3 linked regions of the Nothobranchius furzeri genome follow. The protein of the gene in region 1 purifies or fractionates together with the protein of each later gene. This does not show direct contact. Links are inferred from orthologs where the notes say so. Each region holds a gene or a part of one and is shown in the gene's direction. Other genes may lie near its edges.

Region 1 (4,714 bases):
CCCAAGGACTGTTCCAATCCTAAGTATGCAAGTTCGCTCAAAGTTCCCGGATGTGATCTTGCTCCGCCCATTGTATCGAGGATGCCTCAATGCATCATTCCGCGGACATAACGCATGGCGTCGCAACCGTTATACTCTGAACGTCAGAGGAGAAAGCTAATAACTGTAATGTTTTGTTTTAATGTTAAAGTGCAAAACTATTGACTACACGTGTCTGCAGCATGATTAGACACTCATTTATATAGTTTATCTGCAAGAAAAAGTTGATAAACTTATTTTGATAAACTACATAAATGCATGTCTAATCGTGCTGCAGACACGTGTAGTCAATAGTTTTGCACTTTAGTTAAAATTTAAAATTTCTGCCTAAAACTGTCAGTGTTCTGACGTTGTCGGGTAAAAACTGCACTGCATTTGAATTTAAATCTGCCATCGCTATTGGCTAATACGTACCCTAAAACATTAGCTGGTACCATATGATGACACAAACTTGTTGTGAGCCTGTGTGTGCATTTGTTAGTGGCTCCACCCTCTTGGTCTGCTAGGCAACAGCATTTGTTGCATTTTTTCAAACAGGATGTGGGAGTTGAGTAAGAATCTGGTAGGGAGTGACTTGCTCTTTAAAGCTAGATTTAAAACATAACTTGAATCAGCTGCTTTTAAAGTTGTGACCTTTTCCATTCATGTAAATAATTTATTAACTTTAAAAATTACATAACACATACTTACTTACGAAAGCTCCTTGGTCACGAAGATTAGCTAGACATTGCTGTTTAATTAAAAACGTCTAAGAAGAAAAATGATCAAATAACCCGTGATGCACTGCGGTGGGTTTGAAGCTAATAATGACTTGATCTAAGCTACTAAACACCTCTCGCTGTCTTCGACTTCCCTTTCTGCAATAAAACAAAGAGTGAACGCTGAAAAACGTAAAAATATGTTTCGTTTGATAGTGAAGGGCGGTGTTATCGTGAACACCGCTGCAGTAACAGCGAGTCTGTAAAGTTCACTTTCGAAAACTCCCAGATAGATAATGGCAAATGTTTGAATCATTAATCGAACTCTCGAAGCTAATATTTCTGACTAACTAACAAAATTGATTTAGCATGCGCAGCTACTTTAAAGCCAAACCATAACACACAAAGCAACCCAATAAAATAAACACTCGATGCTTTACTGTATACAAAACCATATTGGATACCTACCAACAAGATTTTCGCTTTCACGCGAAAGTTCTTCTACTAGCTTAACTTGTCAATCAACTCACTTTGTCTAAACATTTAGCCATTTTTATAATAAAGTTAAATGATGAAGACAAGTGACCAGGTCAAGTATTTCTGACTGTGTTGTTGCTGCAACACTTCATCGTGATGTAGTAGTTTGTGTCTTCCTCGTGTTCTCTAGCTACCTTCTACTTCCTTCTTTTTTCTGTCAATACCCTCTACCGCCATCTACTGTTAGCTAAAATGTATACAACAAAAATCTGCTGTTAAGGCTAATCAAATGAGCTAAATCATAATTATTCTTTACACATTGAAGAAATTGTTAGATGTTTAGGTCACGTTATAAGATAAATAAATACATTTGAATTTTTGTTCGCGGTTCAATGTGATAATTCACCAGCTAATCAAGAGGGGGCAGTAGTGAGGCAGGCAACCGGATGTTACGGAAAAGCAGAAGAAAAACTCTCAGGTCAACAGTTAGCTAACTGTGAGAAGCTACGTGAACTAAATTAACCAGGTCACAGGTGTGGTAAAGGTGGGATAAAATGCCTCGTTATGCCCAACTAGTGATGGGCCCGGCGGGCAGCGGTAAGGTAAGTCATCGCTGATCACGCTGGACGTCATAAATGCTTTCTTATGTTATAATGCGTTGCTAACATGTTGAGCTAAGGCAAGTGCTACACAAACTATAACTTCTGTCTTCGTTTTTTTGGTCTGATATTTCAGAGTACTTACTGCTCCACCTTGGTCCAGCATGCAGAGGCCTTAAACCGATCTGTTCAGGTGGTAAATCTGGATCCTGCTGCTGAGCATTTTGACTACCCTGTGATGGCAGGTAAAGACTTTTAAAGATCACATCAGAAAGGCTTAATAGGAAAACAGAAATTGTGTAAAATGAAGAAATTCAAATAGATTAGGTTAGGTTTCATTGTTACATGGTGATCACTTGTAGTTTCGGATAAAAAATATGGAAACACTTTGTGATTGTGATTTTGTGGATTGGTCTTTTTATTTAAATTCAGTTTAGTAAAACAATTACTTCTGATAGGATTACCGTAAATCCTCTAATACAGGCCGGTATTCAATTAAAGGCCGGGTCTCCAATTTTGGCCGGTGTCAGAGTCAGCGGAGGTAAATAATGGCCGGTCTCTTATTGTGGCCGGATGGCATGTGGTAACAAGCAAGTACGAGCGTCCCAGCGGCAGGGTTATAGTTCCCAAATCAACCAGCAGGAGGCAGTAGAGGTTCACGCAGACCTTTATTAGGCCTTTTCTTCAACGCTTTGTAACGCTACAGACACGATCCTCTATCACGCTCCTACCACACAGAGTCATGGTGTCAGTTAACCATGCTAATTCAACCCACTCCACAGAACACACATCACCTTCCCTGTGGCTTACATAACACTCACACAACACGCAAATCAGCACATAGGAACTAGCAGAACGATAGGAAACACATATAACACAATACCCAGAATGCACCTGGCTTACAACCCCAGCCAGGTCATTACACTATCAAGTTCAAAGAGAACGTGCTGATTATGCTGCAGAACACTCTGGAGAGCAGCAGTAGGGTGTGTATGAACTACAGTAATCCCTCGTTTATCGCGGTAGATGCGTTCCAGACCTGGCCGCGATAGGTGAAAATCCGCGAAGTAGGGACTCCCAGCATGCCCCTCGCGGGGATTCCCTTCACGTCGCACCTACGTCACAAACCGCGGCTATAAACGGAAGTTGCCTTTCCAGCTCACCACTCAGTCATCGTTTCTTCAGATTCACGATCAGAGTTTCCAACCTACCGATCAATCCAACGAACTATCAGCTCATAGTAAGTTATCTTACTTACTTCTGGAAAGCCCGGCATTTCCGTGTCACTTCGTTGACGCTCGAACGCTCGGGGGTTTCCTAGATCAGCCGGCGTTTCACCGACGCTCTCACTTCCGCGTCTGTGAAACCACGCTCCCTATTGAATTATCGTATGATCACATTCTCTTTTTGGGGGTAAAACTCAAGTGCCAGACCGTAGGTACTGACACGCGATCGTTCATGTCGGTTAATTTTTAATGTTTTCTGTCTTTTATTTGCGCCTGATGTGTATCGCTGCTGTGGAGCGGGGCGCATCAACTTGTCCTCCGACGCACAGATCACAGCAGGGAGCGCTCAGCTGTTTTCGCGGTCGGTAGATCTGCCTCCTGAGCACGGCCACAGTAACAATCAGGTGTCGCCACCTCAAAAACTAATTTAACACGCGATCGTTCATGTCAGTTCATTTCCTTTAATTTTTTCTGTCTTTTATTTGCGCCTGATGTGTTTCGCTGCACGCTGTGGAGCGGGACGCTGCGCGCATCACCTTGTCCTCCGACGCACTGATCACTGATACAGCCGCCAAACAGCAAGCGCTCCGCTGTTTTTGCGGTCGGTAGATCTTTTAGAACTGCAGTTCAAAGGTAACTCATGAGGTGAATATGAACCCAGGCAGCAGTTTTTCTTTAGGATTGAGAGGAGATGCAGGAAGATAATAAACAGACAGGACAGAAAAATAGTCAAATAAAAACAAGTTAGTTTTTGTACCTGCTGTTGCAACAAACAGACACCATTGAAGGTCATCAGAAGTGAGGAACAGAAAATGAAATAATTATTTTAATGTTTAGAGCAGCAGGAACTCCGAGAGGCTGCAGGCGCATCAGTGAGTTTGCGGCCGCTGCGCAGGGGGAGGGGGGAGAGGGCTGAAGCAGGGGGAGGGGGGAGAGGGCTGAAGCAGGAACTACCGTTGTTAAAAGAAATGTGTTTAACTTTGAAAATGTGGGCGCACTTTTAATTGTCAAAAACTCCAGCGAACCATAGTTCATTTTGCTCAAATAGAAATAGAGGCCTGCCTCTAATACTGGCCCTCCTTCCAATAAAGGCCTGGAGCTTGATGAGCTTGAGTCAAATACAGGCCCGGGCCTGTATTAGAGGATTTACGGTAACTCACAAGTACAAGTAACATCAGGAGGATTTTTTAAATTAATTACTTTCTCCGTGAAGCACACTATATTTGATTGCAGTCCTGCTTTGTCAGACATCCGTGAGCTCATCCAGGTCGATGATGTGATGGAGGATGACTCTCTGAAATTTGGCCCTAACGGAGGTCTGGTCTTCTGCATGGAGTACTTTGCCAACAACTTTGACTGGCTGGAGGAAAGTCTGGGCCATGTGGAAGATGACTATATTCTGTTTGACTGCCCAGGTGAGTAATCTGTTTAACAAACATAACTTTAGTATTGGCTGTTAAGTTTGGTCTAATTGATCTAAAGGTAAGTCCTTTTTAAATTACATAAGTTTGAAGCTTTGTGTTGTTTTTACTTTAAACAGGTCAGATTGAACTTTACACACACGTCCCTGTGATGAGACAACTGGTGGAGCAGCTCCAGCAGTGGGAGTTTCGGGTGTGTGGGGTGTTTTTAGTCGACTCACAGTTCATGGTGGAGTCATTTAAGGTAACCATAT
Region 2 (4,273 bases), on another chromosome or scaffold:
GGTCCACCTTTACCTGTGGAGCCCCCCATTACCGGGAAGCTCCCTGGCACACACACCTTTCCTCCGATGTGTTCCTGAGAGATCAACTGAACCTGGGTAAAAAAAGTCCCGACAGAGGAAACATATACGCTCGGTATTTGCTGGCAGAGCTCCATCTCCCCGGGGCTCTGACAGTCCCGCAGAGACGCAGCGGACCTGCTGACCCATGACTCCAGCAGGCCGGTTGCCCCCTCGTGCTGACACTGCAGGTGGGTCAGGTGAGCAGGTGCGGACTGGCTGAGGGGCATCATGCCATTTAACTGTCTTAAAGTCTCACTTTCTTCACTCATCAAGCTGCTTCTGAGCTCCGCCGGAGCGATGTTCCACTGGCGGAGTTTCCGCCGCAGCAACAGCGCGGGCCTTGACAGCAGACGGATCCACGAGCTGTCCTGGCTATCCTGTCCGACCGATGTGACCGCGGGGCCGGGTGGGTGGGACGAGCGTTTTCCTCCACACGTACATTCTTCGGCGTTTATGTTTCTGAACATTTTATCTACTTAAAGTGCACAAATGAATTTCCCTGAAACAGCAGCGGTTTTAGCAAGTTACACTGACAGCTGTCAAACCTCACTAGAACATGTTAAAGTGGCCGCCAGGAACCCAAAAGATAACGTCCATAAGCCCGGAGCCGGCGACATTCCGCTGAGAGTGGTGGTTAGACTTCCTCCGTGTGGTACCGGAGCTGGAAAACTGAGCCGAGCTGAACATGCTAGAGCCGTGAAACGATGATAAGTCCCAATGTGAAGCGGAAAAACGAGCCATCCTGTCGGGGCTTATCGCGGGTGGGAGGTTCTGCTGGGTTAGCAGGTTAGCTTAGCACGAGAAGCAAACGGCGGTTAGTTTACTTCCCAGCGACGACTTAAAATTATCGATTTAAATTCCGCTTTCTGGTTGGTTTCGTCGACTGTTGATGGAAGGGAGTTCTTCCCACCGGTAATACTGCCCGGTATCCGTTCAGAGAGGAGTTTTGGCCCCCGCACAACTCCGTGAGTCTGTCTATATGGCTGCAGTGGGAGATTTCATCAGAAAGTCAGAAGACCATCAGCAGAAGCCCCGCGTCTTCCTTTTCCGGGTAAACGGCAGACGGTTGGCGGCGCGGCACGGAGCGGCACGAACGCGCGGCAGAAGCGGAGGCGCGGAAAGTTTCTCCAGTTCTTTTTCAGAGGGAGCCATTTTTTATTTTACTCTCGATGCACTCCTACACGAATCTCATTAATATAAAGTAATTATTTATGCTATAGGAGGAAAAAATAGGACATGGCGTCACACGCTGTAAAGGTATAGCTCCTCTGAGTCATGGGTGCATTGAGGAGACCAGATGGTAACACCACCTTAAGGTGACATCTGGTACCATCAGGGGTGCCATGGGCAGCGTTTTGGCTAATCACCTGGTAAATTGCAGAAAAGCAGAGAGTGACACTGAAACGTGTGTTTCTGGTTAAAATGAACTGTGTTTGATGTATTTTGTTCAGGTCCTAGCTTTTATTAAACAAAAAAATGCTGCAAATTTTACATGAACCGTGTTTAGGTCAAACATGTATTATCCTAATATTGTGAAAGTAAACATTTTCTACGTGCTGCAAATTTCTATTATTGATTTAAATATGCAGTTTCGCTTATCGTGCTGCAGGTGGCGGTAATGCCACACAAAGCTGATTTCCTAACAGTCTTTAAACCAGACAAAGAAAGCTGAGCGGAAGTATCCTAGTGGTTCGGTTCGGGGTTCTTTGCTCCAGCACAAACATGAACGCACCTCCAGCCTTCGAGTCGTTTCTGCTCTTTGAAGGAGAGAAAAAGATCGGCATCAGTAAAGATACCAAGGTCCCGAACGCGTGTTTGTTCACTCTGAACAAGGAAGACCACACACTGGGGAACATCATCCGAGCGTAAGACACACACACACACACACACTCTGAGGAACATCATCCGAGCGTAAAACACACACACACATACACACACACACTGAGGAACATCATCCGAGCGTAAAACACACACACACACAGGGGAACATCATCTGAGCGTAAGACACACACACACACACACACACACACACACACACACACACACACACACACACACACACACACACGCACGCACGCACACACACACACACACACACACACAGGGGAACATCATCCGGGCGTAAGACACGCACACACACACACACACACACACACACACTGGGGAACATCATCCGGGCGTAAGACACACGCACTGGGGAACATCATCTGGGCGTAAGACACACACACACTGGGGCACATCATCTGGACGTAAAACACACACACACACACACTGGAGAACATCATCTGAGCTCAAGGACACAATTTGATATTGGAAAGAAAAAAAAACCTGACAGCAGCCGGCCTTCGCCTGTGGGAGGAGCTCTGACACAGGTGTCCTGTCTGGTGGCCCCTAATTGTGTGTTTTTGTGTGTCAGTCAGCTGCTGAAGGATCCTCAGGTTCTGTTCGCGGGTTACAAAGTTCCTCATCCTCTTGAGCACAAGATCGTCATCCGAGTGCAGACCACACCTGACTACAGTCCACAGGTAACCCATCAGGTCTTCAACACCAAATAAAGTAAAGATGGCTGTAGGGACTTCACCAGAGAAGTGAAGGAATGTGTGCATGCATATATATATATATATATATTTTTTTTTTTATATATATATTTTATTTAGGGTCCGTCGTATTGTCGAACCTCAGATTCAGGAGGACGAATGTGGTTTTCATCCTGATCGTGGAACACTGGGCCAGCTTTGTACCCTTAGGGGGGTCCTGGAGGGTGCGTTAGAGTTCACCCAGCCAATCTAAATGTGTTTGTGGATTTGGAGAAGGTGTTCGACTGTGTTCCTCAGGGGGCCCTGTGGGGGGTAGTCCAGGAGCATGGGGTACCAGGCCCTCTGACACGGGCTGTTAGGTCCCTGTATGACCGGTGTCGGAGCTTTGGTCCGCATTGCCGGCAGGACGCAAACCAACAGGAGTCAAGATGGTGTAAGCTGTGTTCTTAAACAAGATCATTTCTCATTGGTTTAGATAGAGGGGTTGGGGCATAAAACCTCTACTGGAGCCAGCCTCTGGAGGCTTTTCAGATCTTTCAGCTTCAACTTCTGCACTGTCCTCCAGCTGGTCTTTATACATGTTGGTGGTCTAAGCCTCATGATGCTGTTGGACCCAAGTGGGTCTGGATTTGTTTCTCATATGTTTTGTGTCTTGATTGGTTGAGACACAATAATGATAGAAATTGGAAACCTAACCAAATGTGATGTCATTTCCTCCACAGGAAGCATTCACCAATGCCATCACAGATCTGATCAGTGAGCTGTCTCTGCTGGAAGAACGCTTCAGAGTTGCCATCAAAGACAAACAGGAAGGCATCGAGTGACCCTGACCTCTGACCTCACCTCATTTTGTTGTTTTGTTTTTCTAAATAAACTTAAGATGTCAGATTCTGTGTTTAGTCAATACCTTTTACAAGTATTTCGACAAAATTGCCAAACACTATTAAAAATAGGGTTTGGAACTAGATCTGATCCCACTCAGATGTCCAAAGGAACAGCTGGTATGGAAATCTTCACCTGTTAATTCTAGCATTGATCAGCTGATCTTCAGGAAGTGATGTCACCTCTAAGAATTTAAACTATATCAAACAAAACAAAATAGTTGTCAATCAGATTTAATTGAATATTCTTTTAAAAGAAAAGCAGTAAAAAATAAAAAAAATCTGATTTTGTGATGTCACATGCCGTGTGGCCCCTGATCATGTGACCATCAGGGGTCAGAGTCTCTCTGAGCCTCCATGGCTCGCTGCATCTTCTCCACCATCCACGGAGGAACGGAGAACGGCTTCAACTCGTCCATCCTGACATCCGGACAGTCCCTAAAAGGGATGCAAGTTACCACGGCAACCACACACATCTCACCAGCTATCAACTACATCATCAGAACAACAAATGCTAGAATAAGGTCAATAAAACTGGTAGCTGGTTCTGTTCTAGTGATTAAACTGTTTTCTGCAGCTGGATCCAGAAGTTTGTGTTTCAGGTTGGATACTAACTTGTACTCATCGCTGTGAGACAAATCCTGGATGTCCTCTTCAATCAGAAGGTAAGCCTGCCGGTATGCACACACACACACACAATTGTTAAATAGGTTTTAAACTACCCATGATGCACTGCCACACAAACTTCATCTGATGACTGATTCAGGCGATCACCTGCAGTGATCAGGTCAGCAG
Region 3 (4,721 bases), on another chromosome or scaffold:
TATGAAGGTGACTTGTTGCAGATTTTGTTACTTAGATGTCTTTAACCTCTCATCGTTTCATGCATTTTGTGGTTTGAAGCTGCAGCTGAACACTGCAGAAACTCGACTCATCGTGATGTTTGAAGAAAGGGAAAAAAATAACAAAACAGGCAGCTGAAACATCTGTGTGCAGCTGTGGAATGTTGTGTTGGCCTCAGTGGGCTCCCCAAAGAGGATCACTGGAAAAATGTGAACTTTCAGTACTTGTTTTAGGAGGAAATACTTTTCTGGTCCAGTTAAACCCATAAAGTGTTTCTTACTCTATAGTCAGGGAACAAAATTGTTTTACATCACGTTTTGATTCAATTAACGTTTCAAAACACTGCCTCAAAGGAAAGGTATAAGCTGCAGCTTTTATTTATCATTTGCAACATTAACTGTTCATTTGCTCAAACTGGAGAAACTTTCTGAGTAATCTATGTGATTTCTTCTCAGCGTGCCCATCAGTATCTGGTGAGCAAAGGAAAGTCCAGGTCTGACTTGAGGCTGTTCAAGAGTCAGCTGAGCTTGATCTGGTTTCATCTTTACCACCGACAGAGGAACACGGGGTGGGAGTCTGAACATCAATGCGTCAGAGTCTTTTATCACTTTGTTTGTGACGATAATAAGTAACCATTTTGTTTGTGTGACAGCCCAGACTCTTGTGGGTTTGAACACGTTTTTGTTGGTGAAACCAGATCCGGAACAGAAATAATTGGCTTTCACAACTGGGTTCAGTTCTACCTGCAGGAGAAAAACAGCCAATTGGATTACAAGGGATACAAGGCCAGAGAGCACGACTTGGTAAGTTCACCACATGGAGGAGACGCATCTCTGTCGGCACCATCTCATGTCTGCTTCCACCTGCAGCCTGACCAGGATGACCACGTTTTGAACCTCCAGTTCAGCTGGCACGGTGTGCTGAAGCCCGTCGGCAGTGCCTTCATTGGGACCAGCCCTGAGTTTGAGATGGCCATCTTCACCATCATCTTCCTGATGAACACAGAGAGGAGCACCACAGTGCTGGTCAACATCGACCAGTGTCAGCTGGAGCTGGTGGTCGTCAGGCAGGGACGTTGTCTGGGGACGGCATACCCCAAACTGCTCAGCAGCAACAGCAGACATGTCAGGGGGCACGCTCGCTGACCCTGTCCACACCTGAAATGACAGGTGGTGTCTGTATGGAGGCAGCAAACTGAACATCCATCATGACTGTTCTAAACTTTATTCAAAAATGTAGAAGATGCTTTTAATAGAATAGTTTGTGTTGCTTTTATCAGCATAGCGTTAGAGGATCAATTGATTCAATCAGATTCCTTAGTTTTTTCCTCTGCTTTAGTCAAAACCAAAAGCATTAATTCTAATTAATTTTCTATTTATGCTTGAAAAAGTCAACGTGTTTTTCCAGTACATTAAGTTACTTTTTGTTTGTTTCTCGTACTAAATAAAACAACTAAGTAAAACAATCAAAAAGTGAATTTCTTGTCTTTTTTTGTTTCAGTAACGTTTTGCACCACTAGGTGGCATACGTTTATTAAACTGTTGAGATCCCGCGACCTCCGAAGAAGTCGTTCCAGACGGAACTATGTAGTTCCGCCCAACGTTTCTACGTACGCTTGAAATTGAAACACATAGCTGGGACGCATGCAGCCGACACTTCCTGCGTGTTGTGTCAACACTAACGTTATTTATATTTTTAAATGTTTAGAGTAGAACAGCAACGGTGACTATGGAGCTGCTGGGAGGAGAGTTTGGAGAAATGACTCCTCAGGAGTTGGCGGCTCCTGTCAACACTGTGGCGGTAAGTTCGGGGAAAATCGGACAAAAAGGTTTTTACACCACGAGTGCAGTGCAGTAAGCTAATTCAACAGATTTAACTGATGGTGTGGTGCAACGAAGCTTCTTAGTTGTTAAATGAGTCTGGAATTATGTCACAGCTGGAACATTGTAGCATTAAATCCAGAGTTTGGCCAACCTCGGCATAAAGTGCTCCAGAAACGGAATAATTTAATTAATTAACTGGTTTGTTTCTCTTCCTGACAGGAAAAATGGAAGTTGTTACCAGCCTTTCTGAAGGTAACACAATAAGTAGAATTATCCCCCCCCCCCCCCCCCCCCGAGGAAAATCTAGACAAATATTTAAGCAGAAATTTCCATTTATAATCCAGATTTTTATTAATTCTACAATTTGAAGACTTCTGTTGTATTTTTAATTTAATTTCCGACTTTTGTTAGTTAATTTGATCTAATCAGATTCATTAATTTATGAAAAGTCAGGTTTAAATAATTAAAGTTAATCCCTTTAGCCCTCAGTGACCTAAGAGTTTAACCATGAGATACATCCATGCTCCTCTCTTTTTTTCTCTTTCATCTCTGTGTGCGTTGCAGGTGAAAGGTTTGGTGAAGCAGCACATTGACTCGTTTAACTATTTCATTAACGTTGAGGTAAAGCTGAAACCCACCAACCGGGCTTTTACTCCTCTGTTTAAGATTTCACTTCACTAAAAGCATCTTGTGTTTCAGATCAAGAAAATTATGAAAGCAAATGAGAAGATCACAAGTGATGCTGATCCACTGTGGTACTTGAAGTAAGTTATTCAATCGTTATATTACTGACACGCCCTTTATCTTGAATTGGAGTTAATCTGAGAAGTGGTTCCTGTGCAGCTACCTCAATATCTACGTTGGGATGCCCGATGTTGAGGAAAGCTTTAACGTAACCCGACCGGTTTCTCCTCATGAGGTGAGTCTGATCAGATGAGATCATGTTTCAGTCTGACAGGTTTGTAAATTAAATCCATCAGTGGATTTATGGGAATATTTGTTGATTATTTTGCTTAAAGGAGAAATTCTGTTTCCACAGTGTCGCCTCAGGGACATGACCTACTCGGCGCCCATCACAGTGGACATAGAATACACTCGCGGCAGTCAAAGGATCATCCGAAACGCTCTGCCTATTGGAAGGTTTCTGATTTTTGACTCATTCTAATTTATCTCTCAAATTCTGCATTTCAGCTTTCAAAACTCGTCAAGATGTTATTGTTAAGAGGATTCTTTCTACTCGTGTCAGGATGCCGATCATGCTGCGAAGCTCGAACTGTGTTCTCACAGGAAAGACTCCCATGGAGTTTTCTAAACTCAACGAATGTCCTCTGGACCCAGGTACACTGTTGTTAAAAAGGATCTAACTCTAATTCTTAATGTTTTATTCTGGTCCTCTGTTTGACAGAGTTGTGTTCTTTTGATTTTCAGGAGGTTATTTTATTGTAAAAGGCCAGGAGAAAGTCATCCTGATCCAGGAGCAGCTGTCCAAGAATCGGATCATTGTGGAACAGGACAGGAAGGGTGCAGTCGGCGCCTCGGTTACCAGGTAGGAATAAAGTTACAGCTTCCTCCCAAATGAAGGAGTTAGACAGTTTAACTTGTTGTTTTGTTTCAGCTCCACTCACGAGAAGAAAAGCAGAACCAACATGATTGTGAAGCAGGGTCGGTTCTACCTGAGACACAACACGCTGTCTGAAGACGCTCCCATCGCTATTATATTCAAGGTAAAACCAGTTTAAGTACGTCCAGTAGGTGGCGCTGCAACACAACTAAAGAGAAGATTTTCTCTGCAGCTCTGATCTGTGTAAAATCATAATTGATAAACTCATGCTGTGGGAGGTTTTGATGAACTCTGTTCATCAGCCGGAGTGAAAATGTCAGTGGAACAGCTGGTGCTGTGATCTCCCATCACCTCTGGAGAAAAGCTTTTCTAACACATTACCTTGTGAGTGTCTGAACCCTCGGTTCTGTTTGCTGAGAGCTCGTACATCCTGGACTGCTCCTTCCCCACCTCCTTCTGCGACCTCATCTCCTCCGTGGAGCACACGAATCAGTTCCCACAGCTTCACATTTCCATAAGCAAATGTCATGCACCCCCATGACTCCGAGCTAACCTCTCTGACCCCCACCAACACTCCACCTCCTAATGTTTCAGCTCATATAGTCTCAACGTGGTTATATATTGAAATGATTTAGTTCACCCCTTTCACATTAGTCCCTTGTCTTCTGCATCATGTCTGTGACCCACACAGGGTATGGGTGTAGAAAGTGACCAGGAGATCGTTCAGATGATCGGCACCGAGGAGAACGTCATGGCTAGCTTCGCCCCGAGTCTGGAGGAGTGTCAGAAAGCCCAGATCTTCACCCAGACTCAGGTATTTCAGTAAAAAAAAAAAAGCCACTGGTTACATCAACATGTTTTACAGGCTAATCTCAGGTCAGGTTACCAATCTGGTGTTTATGACGCAGGTACAGATGAGTTAATTTTACCCCTCCTCTTTGTATACTCAGTGGTTCCAAAAGTCTGGGTCAGGGTCCCACTGTGGCTCATGAAACACTTAGCTTTGGTCTAGAGACAAAAATCTTAGGCCTAGTCCACACGTAGCCGGGTTTTTTAAAAACGAATATCCGCCCCTCCAAAAACTTGCATCCACACCACCGCGTTTTAAAAACAAACTCTGTCCACACGTACCCGGATAAATACGTTGTTAAGGACATGCCAGACCTGTAGGCGGCAGTACTTCCCCCGTTCTTAACCTCGTCCTTCGTCTGTGGTCTTCCGCAAGGAGCAGTAATTCCGCTTGCAAAAACAAACAAGCAAAAAGCGCTTGGACAATTGATGGATCGGGTAGTGACAGAGCGCAGCTCTGAAGGCTTCC

The links. The genes of interacting proteins can lie anywhere in the genome.
Region 2: the proteins of gpn3 (region 1) and polr2j purify together in Homo sapiens (affinity purification with mass spectrometry; 4 studies listed by BioGRID and IntAct, with this or other methods). This does not show direct contact. The link is inferred for Nothobranchius furzeri from reciprocal best matches to the Homo sapiens genes GPN3 and POLR2J.
Region 3: the proteins of gpn3 (region 1) and polr3b purify together in Homo sapiens (affinity purification with mass spectrometry; 3 studies listed by BioGRID and IntAct, counting the BioPlex papers as one, with this or other methods). This does not show direct contact. The link is inferred for Nothobranchius furzeri from reciprocal best matches to the Homo sapiens genes GPN3 and POLR3B.

What each region holds. Positions count from the first base shown.
Region 1 is NC_091746.1:47,857,690-47,862,403, forward strand, and holds the start of gpn3 (GPN-loop GTPase 3), read left to right. Parts: upstream 1-1,548; 5' UTR 1,549-1,768; coding exon 1,769-1,816; intron 1,817-1,949; coding exon 1,950-2,058; intron 2,059-4,286; coding exon 4,287-4,454; intron 4,455-4,579; coding exon 4,580-4,704; intron 4,705-4,714. UniProt on the Homo sapiens protein: Small GTPase required for proper localization of RNA polymerase II (RNAPII). May act at an RNAP assembly step prior to nuclear import.
Region 2 is NC_091743.1:77,207,904-77,212,176, reverse strand, and holds polr2j (DNA-directed RNA polymerase II subunit RPB11-a), read left to right. Parts: upstream 1-1,564; 5' UTR 1,565-1,782; coding exon 1,783-1,925; intron 1,926-2,476; coding exon 2,477-2,585; intron 2,586-3,319; coding exon 3,320-3,421; 3' UTR 3,422-3,483; downstream 3,484-4,273. Other genes in the region: protein phosphatase 1 regulatory subunit 15B, read right to left, coding at 1-527; deoxynucleotidyltransferase terminal-interacting protein 1, read right to left, coding at 3,808-3,916, 4,094-4,149. UniProt on the Homo sapiens protein: Core component of RNA polymerase II (Pol II), a DNA-dependent RNA polymerase which synthesizes mRNA precursors and many functional non-coding RNAs using the four ribonucleoside triphosphates as substrates.
Region 3 is NC_091744.1:73,559,127-73,563,847, reverse strand, and holds the start of polr3b (DNA-directed RNA polymerase III subunit RPC2), read left to right. Parts: upstream 1-1,631; 5' UTR 1,632-1,747; coding exon 1,748-1,819; intron 1,820-2,061; coding exon 2,062-2,094; intron 2,095-2,406; coding exon 2,407-2,463; intron 2,464-2,541; coding exon 2,542-2,606; intron 2,607-2,685; coding exon 2,686-2,761; intron 2,762-2,881; coding exon 2,882-2,982; intron 2,983-3,088; coding exon 3,089-3,180; intron 3,181-3,270; coding exon 3,271-3,388; intron 3,389-3,457; coding exon 3,458-3,566; intron 3,567-4,094; coding exon 4,095-4,217; intron 4,218-4,721. Other genes in the region: endouc (uridylate-specific endoribonuclease C), read left to right, coding at 1-7, 475-587, 672-822, 889-1,164. UniProt on the Homo sapiens protein: Catalytic core component of RNA polymerase III (Pol III), a DNA-dependent RNA polymerase which synthesizes small non-coding RNAs using the four ribonucleoside triphosphates as substrates.